Linked DNA regions of Ovis aries. The protein of the gene in region 1 purifies or fractionates together with the protein of each later gene. This does not show direct contact. Links are inferred from orthologs where the notes say so. Each region holds a gene or a part of one and is shown on either strand. Other genes may lie near its edges. The genes, in order: PBXIP1 and SLC27A1.

Region 1 (3,802 bases):
TATTATTAACTAATCACAGCACTTCTTTCCCACTGAGTCTTGGCCTGTTCTTCAAATCCTTCTCCACACAAGGCTCCAGGTAGACCATGCCAATCAAGCAGAGGTGGCATGCCACGTGAAGCAGATACGCAATCCTGGCCTAACCCTTAGCATGCAGGACAGGAACAAAACATGGAAGACGACTGGACTCTAGTGGGAAAGGGAGAGGGTCAGTATATGTGCGTGAACACAGGAAACTTCTTTGGGTGGAAGAAACTGGACAGACAGACACGCGGCCTAGGGAGGGTGTCTAGCCCACCCCATCCTGATTGTGCTCACCTGCAGCTGGGCCTGCAGTAGTCGGATGTCCTGGTTCTCCTTGGCCAGCTTATCCAGCAGAAGGGCCATGTTCTGCAGGCTGGGGACACTGTCCAGGAGCTCTGAGGTCTGTAGCTGCTGTAGTCCATCCTAAGGGCAAAGGTAGCTCAGTCAGTAAAGAATCTGCCTGCAGACACACACTCAAACACACACACAGGCACACAGACCCAGACACACAGACCCAGACACACAGACCCAGACACACAGACCCAGACACACACACACAGACAGACAGACAGACACACACACACACACACACACGCACACACACACACACGCGGGCAAAGGAGCCAGTCACCCCAGCTGAGCCCCACAACCCCGACAGCCCCCACCAGGCCCCTCACTCAGATGGAGACAGTCACACATGCCTGCCCATCCCCCACAGCCTCCAGCATCTCAGTATCAGACTCCATATCTGGCAAGACCTGCAGGTCCACTTCCTCCAGGGGCCCTGTGGGAAAGTGGAATCCTGAAGCTGGTCTCAAGGCACACAGAGCCCTCTCCTCCTCCCCGTCCTGCAACACCCCCCGCCCCCCTCCCCCACCCTGCCAACACCCCGCCCTGCCAACACACACAGTCACTGTCCTGCCCTGGACCTCGCCCTATGGCTGAGGGGTCCAGCAAGGTAAAAGGTCAACGGTCACCCCAAAGAGCTGACATAAGGCCTATAACTGAGCAAAAAATATATAGCCCCCAGGATCCCTACTCCTGACCCAGAGAACTGCCCCCATCAGCCTCCCTCAGGGCTGGAAGGGGACAGACACAAATGGGTCAGGCCCCATCCTCACTCACCACTCTCAGACTCTGAGAGACCACCTGAAATGGAGACAGAGGAGTCTGGTCAGGCCCGCAGGGGCAGGGGCAGAATGGGGTCGGAGTGCTGCAAGAGGGGCCACAGCAGAGGCTCAAGGTGCCGGCGGGGGGGGGGGGAACCACTCACCGAAGAGGAGGATCCCAAGGCCCAGCAGGACCAGGGACCCGAGGAGACACATGTTGAGGGAGATGCCCAGCGCCCCGCCCGCACCCTTGCCCTGGACCTGGTCCTCCACACCCAGGGTGGCTGCGGGCTGAGGAGTGCCGGGCTCCCGGCCCCGCCGTCTCCGCAGACCCGCCACATCCACATCGGTGTCGTCCTCGCTGCTGGAGTGGTGGGCCTCCTCCCTGATCCAAGCTGGGGGGAGGGAGGGGGACAGGGCAGTAAGGCAACTGGAGAGACGGGATGGACAGACAGACCAGAACCAGAGGAAAACACAGGAGACCCCCAGTCCTGATCACAGAGGGAGCGCATGGAGACCCTCCCACATGTGCCTGGGCATCAGTGACTACCCCTGCCCAGTCTGGAGGCTGAAGACCAGTCCTTTCTACTACAGACAAGATACAAGAGCGACTTTCATCCTAAAAGCGTCCTCCTGCTCCCACCTGTGCCCCCTGCCCTGGTTCTGTCGGAAACCTGGCCACACCCTCTCAGCGTCTCCTCTCAGTGCCTGGCTGCTCCTGGTCCTAGAGGCTGAGGTCTCCCTGGCACCATTTCTGCTCTTCTCACTGCACGCACAATCGCCCAGTCTCACCCACCCTGCCGGCTCCCCCCAGAGCAGACTGAGTCCCTCATCTGTAACTCCCGACTGGCCTCCCTAGAGCTCCAGGCCTGCATGTCTGACCACCTCCTGGTCTCTTCCACCTGGCTGTCCCTGGGGACCAAACACTCCACACGCTGCCCTCCAACCTGGTTCTCTCCTGGTTCTCTCCTGGCACTCCCCGATGCAGGGCAAGACGCCAGGGCTCCACGAGCCAACCTCAGCCCTCCCTTTGCCTCCCATGCACAGATCAACAACATGGCCCCTAAAGATCTCAGCGGCACATGCCTTGTATCTACCTTAGTCCAGGTCTTCCCCAGCTTCGTCGGACTGCAGCTGCCCCCGAATGGCCCCGGACCCCGCCTCCCCCTCCACCCTGTCACCCCTCAACAGAGATGGATTCACACACTCCTCCTGCCGCCAGCCTGGGACGCAGCCTCCTCGGTGCAGGACCGGGGAACCCAGCCCTTTGTGGATGCTGCAGCCCTGGCCTGCAGCGTTGTCTTCCTCCTACCCTACCTACCAAAAGTCCACTCTGCTCAAGGTTCCACTCCAATGTCCCCTCCGTTGTGAACCTTTTCCCCAGCTGTCCCTGCCTCCCCCTCCCCCTCGACCTGTCCCCTGACTAACCCACCCTCCTCCCTTCCCGTGGGGACACCTTAATCACACTGCCTTTGCACCCTCACAAGTCCGACTTGCACCTTGCCTCAGTCTAGTCCACCTCCTACACAGGCCGTGAAGCCAAGCTGCTTTCCCAGAGCTGACTCGTGGAAGGGACTCAGGGAATGAGAGGCAAATCTAGAGGCAAGTAAAGAGGAGGCCCCACAGCAGAGAAGAGTTGACCAGACCTAGGCCCTGCCACTTATCAGCTGTGTGACTTAAGCCTGAGTGTTCCCAGGGGTGACGGTGGTGAGGATTCACTGATACAGCTTAAGGAAGGCTCCAAGCTGCCAAGGCCTAAGGCCTAGACCAGAGCTGTGCTCGGCAGTGATGTCTATCTATTCCCACTCCAACACCTTCTAGAAGGATAGTGACAGGCGAAACAAGCAGGACTCTCACCTGTTTTGGGGGATGAAGGCAGGCTGCGGGAGGGGCTCTGATCCTCCAGGTCCTGTGAGTCCGGTTCCAGGCCTACCACCTCAGGGGTCTCCTCCAAGTCTCCCTGGGCCTCTGTGTCTCCTGGGCCGGGGGGCTCCCCTCCAGGGTCATCACCTTCCAGGACACCCTGCTGCAGACACAGCCGTGAGCACCTCCCACTTCCCTGGCCCTCCCCACTTCCCGCCCTTCCCCCAGGGAAGGTCCTCACCTTGGCCTCAGCCTGCTCTGACAGGATGGGCCCAGATTGGGAGCTCTCGCTCTGGGATACTGTCTCTGTGGCAGGAAAAAAGAGTCAGAAAAAACACCACGGCCCCCGTGGCTCCCACAGGCCGCGACCAGGTAGGAAGGGACAGGAGAAAGCCAGGATGGGATAAGGGAGGGTTTTAAACTGAGATCAATGCTGGGAATAAGACCAACTGGCCTTCCTCTCCCTGAGGAAACTGGGAAACCCCAGAACATGGAGGACAGGTGGCTGCACCGCCCCCCTCAACAGGGCCCTGTTACCTCCTCCATCCAAGGTCCCAGCCAAGTCCTCAGCAGCTGCCTTGGAGGGGCTTCGAGGGGCCTGAGGAGCTCTCTCGGATTCTGGGTCCCTCCCAGATTCAGGGCCCAAGGTCTCCACAGGCAGGCTCTGGGGGCAGGGGTACAGCAGAAGGGCTGCTTTAGAGGAAGGACGGCAGGACGAAACCGAGCACGGGGTGCTCTCCTGGGTGCCCGAGACCAGCCCATGCTCAGGGTTCCCAGCCCGCACCATACACACAACACACTCAGCA
Region 2 (3,802 bases), on another chromosome or scaffold:
GACAAAGCCAGGGAGGCTGGGGTATCCTCGCTGGGGAGGTGACTGAGACCTGGTAAGAAGGAGCTGTGGGGAGAGCTAGGGAAGGGCAAGCAGGTGAAGTGCAGAGCATATGCAAAGGTCCTGAGGTCAGAAGCAGCCTGGCAGGTTGGAGGAATTGAGGACAGAGCGAGCAAAGAGGCAGAGGAGGAAAATGGCATCAGAGAAGCGGCAGCTGGCGCACAACACGAATGAGGCTTTTTATCCAAGGGTCAAGGTAAGAACAGGGCGGTTTGGCATGAGTTGGTTGTCCTCCGGTCGTGGAGGAGAGGAGGGCTGTTGGGGGCAGGCGGAGGCTGAGGAGGGGCAGAGGACAGCACTGGGTCCTGAGATGGGCTGTGGGTTTTACCCAGTTGAGTTCAAGATGCCCACAATATCCTCAACAAGAGCTGGGGGGTGGGGGGGCCAGGGGGTGGTTGGGGTGGGGAGGGAGGCAGGAGGATCAAGCCTTAGAGACGACCTGGAGTGGCTCTCCAGTGCGGGTGGGGGTGGGGGGTGGCAGAAGCAGGGTGGGCAACACCCACGAGCCCCTCACCTGCTGTGCACGATGATGGCAGCCTTGGGCAGCCCCGTGGTCCCCGACGTGTAAATGTAGAAGAGTCGATCTGAGAGAGACACGGGTGTTGGGGACCAGAGGCTGGGCTGGGTGGGACGAGGGGACAGGATAGGCACAGGCAGGGGGATCCCACCTGAACTCACCATCCATGCCCTTGCCAGGGGGCTGCGCCAGGGGGGCTGTGGAGGTCTCCTTCAGCAGCGGATCCAGGAGTTGGGTGTCCGGTAAGACGCCATCAGGCCCCACGTCTCCAGAACAGAACTTGACCAGGCTCTTGCCCAACTGCCCGCTCACCTCCGCCACCGCTGCGGCGCGAAACATGTCGTGGTTGAAGATGGACAGGTGCCCCTCCCAGGGCCGGGGAAGCACTGTCTCCCTGCCCTGACCAGCCCCAGGCCCCCACCGACAAGATGCTACCCACACCCGGCCTCACCCGCCGCCAGCTCCCCTCCGAAGACCAGGGCTTTGGCGCCCGAGGTGCCCAGGCAGAAAGCCAGGGGCTCCCGTCGCAGGTTCACGTTGAGCAGCGCGGCCTCCACACCTGCCTTGGCCAGGCCCAGCCAAAGCCCCACAAACTCAGGCCGGCCCTCCATGAAGATGGCCACCACGTCGCCCGGCGCGAAGCCCAGCCGGCGGAACAAGTTGGCCACAGCGTTGGAGTAGGCATCCAGCTGCGCGAAGGTCCAGCACGCACCGCTGCCCGCGTCCACTAGCGCCAGGCGCTCGGGCTGCCGCTGAACCACCGCCTGGAAGATCTGCGGGATGGTGTGGCGCGCGCGCTGGTGCCGCCGCAGCTCCAGGCGCACGCGTATCAGCACGGAGAGGCCGCTGGCAGGGGGGATGAGGAGCCGGTGTCACTAGGTGCCCCACTCACCCCAGGATACCTCCCCAAGCCTCGGCATCCCCACACGGAGAGGGCAGAGGAAGAGACCCCAGTTCCCTAAGGGCGGCGAGGGTTCAAAGAGGATGCTTGGGGTGCCGGGTCTCTCGAAGGACTAAGGGCAAAGGGCTATTTCTCAACCAGCCCAGAAGGAGGCGGATTCTCAAAGCTGGCTATGCAGTGTTAATCAGACTCACCCTGTCCTCCCGCATCACAGCTTGCCCGGTAACCCTCAGGAGCCAGGGCCCAGTCCTCCTTTCTCCTTACCGGGGATCCAGAGTACCCCATGCTGACTCCACACTGCCTCCAGCCTGGACTCCTTATGCCCTGCCTGCCTCAGCTGAGCCCTGGGGTCCATCCCTGAGCTGCGTGGCTGCCCCACTCCCGAGTCACTGAATGGCACTAGGCTGAGGTGACTGGGCCATCCAGCTCGGGTGCCCCCACCTAAGGCGGGGAGCTGCCTCTGCCCCAGGTGGGGCCAGGAGACAGGCTAGTGAGAGGCCCCAGTGGCAGGTGTCCTGTTCCTCTGTCCCCACCTGACAGCAGATACAAGGCAATCAGAGGTCAGAGGGGAAAGGAGAACTCCAGGAGAAGGAGCCAGCCTCCTGAATGACCCTGTTGGGATGAGCAGCCATCGCTGACACCAGGCCATTTGAGATGAGTGAGACTTGAACTTGTTTGTATTGTTTAAAGCAAAAGTGATGGCTTTTAGATCATGAACCGAGAAAGCCAAAATTTCCTAGTGCAGGAGCTCAAGAAACAAGTGGTCTCCTGGCTTTATCAGGCTCCCTGGCCCACCATGCAGAGCCCCTGGCTCTGAGAGGTAACTTGGTGCTGGGTTAAGCCACTGATGAGTGAGGACCTGTTTGTTACAGCAGCTTCCTCTGCCCTGACCAATACAAGTGGTCTTGACTCTGCTGCCTCTTTAGGCTTCATCTGGCTATTGTGTCCCACCAGTTTTAGCATCAAATTGGTTATCAGAACCATCCTTTGTGTCCCTACTGCTTCCTCTGTGCTGATTCCTTAATTCCCTGCAATGGCTTCCTCAGACTCAACAGATTCACAACAGACCTCAGCGTTTTCATCCATTCATTCATCCCCTCTGTCCTTAATTCATGAAGGCAGCTGATGTGTATCAGGGCCTACTGTGTTTTGTTTTTTTTCAGTTTGAAGATCTAATTGGCTTTATTTATATTTTAATTAGAAGATCTAATTGGCTTTGTTTCAGGATTTCTTTTTTTCTTGGTACCAGCACCTACTGCACACTGGGCATTCTTGGCTCAGAGATGACTAGATCCAACCCTTCGAGGCTCATAGTTTTCCCAGGAGAGAAACCCCCTCTACATAAATGAATGAGCATGAGGAAAGTGCTAGATGATGACAAGGCTGTCAGAGTGACATGGGTCAGAATGGAGGCAGTGATGGCCCCGGAGATAGCCAGGTAGGTAAGGCCTGTGCAGGGCCTCAGAAGTGAAAAGCAGTGGTGTGAGTGTAAAGCCAGGTTCAAAGCCAGTGCAAAGGTCCTGGGGTCGGACTGGACCTGGGGAATGGAGGAAGACAAGGTCTTGGGTGGTCAGGAAGGTCTGTTAGAGGAGAGGTTGGATCCACACAGCCACCTGCATGGCAGTTTCTAAAAACAAGAGGTCAGGGTTCTGAGAGATTTATGAGACTTCCTGTTTGGGTCAAGCTGCACATCCTGAGCGTCCCTGGAGGGCCCCTCTAGCTGCCCCTGGGAAGGGACCGGGATCCTGTGGCCGCTGTGACTTGGCTCAGCCAGAGCATCTGCACACACGTCTGCTGCCAGCACACTGAGCTAAGCACAGCCCTACACACCTGCTCATTCTCTGGTGACTCCTTTCACCTCCTCCCCCAGGGAGCCATCCAGGCCTCGGGCCCTGTGCTGTGCCCACTGCTCCCCCATCATGTCCCCAAAGGGGGCCAGTCCAGACTGCGTGCTGGCTGGGCTCAGGGAATGTTCTCTTGTCCACCCCAAGAGCCCTCCCCAACCCCCTTTACCCACGGCCTCCCATCAAAACCCCTGAAGCCACCCTGTTGTGAGTCCATTTTCCCCAGGGTTCTGAGCAACCAGGGAAGTTACCTCTGCTCCAGCCAAGCAGCCTAGCATGTAGCAGATGCTCAGTAAACAGAAACTGAATGGCTGTTCTTGCCTGAACTTAGGACCTGGTGTGCCTGCCCTCTCCAGCAGCCAGCACAGGAGCACAGACTACTCCATTCATCCCCAGATGGGGAGCACCTGCTGTGTGCCAGGCCTAGAGAGACCCAACCCTCCTCCCCCTCCATCCTCCCCACAGATTTCCCCCTCACTCACT

What was found.
Region 2: the proteins of PBXIP1 (region 1) and SLC27A1 purify together in Homo sapiens (co-immunoprecipitation; 3 studies listed by BioGRID and IntAct, with this or other methods). This does not show direct contact. The link is inferred for Ovis aries from reciprocal best matches to the Homo sapiens genes PBXIP1 and SLC27A1.

The regions. Positions count from the first base shown.
Region 1 is NC_056054.1:105,173,246-105,177,047, forward strand, and holds part of PBXIP1 (pre-B-cell leukemia transcription factor-interacting protein 1), read right to left. Parts: intron 3,661-3,802; coding exon 3,534-3,660; intron 3,303-3,533; coding exon 3,238-3,302; intron 3,160-3,237; coding exon 2,991-3,159; intron 1,529-2,990; coding exon 1,298-1,528; intron 1,174-1,297; coding exon 1,150-1,173; intron 809-1,149; coding exon 726-808; intron 448-725; coding exon 319-447; intron 1-318. UniProt on the Homo sapiens protein: Regulator of pre-B-cell leukemia transcription factors (BPXs) function. Inhibits the binding of PBX1-HOX complex to DNA and blocks the transcriptional activity of E2A-PBX1.
Region 2 is NC_056058.1:5,389,164-5,392,965, forward strand, and holds part of SLC27A1 (long-chain fatty acid transport protein 1), read right to left. Parts: intron 1,421-3,802; coding exon 1,026-1,420; intron 898-1,025; coding exon 736-897; intron 642-735; coding exon 572-641; intron 1-571. UniProt on the Homo sapiens protein: Mediates the import of long-chain fatty acids (LCFA) into the cell by facilitating their transport at the plasma membrane.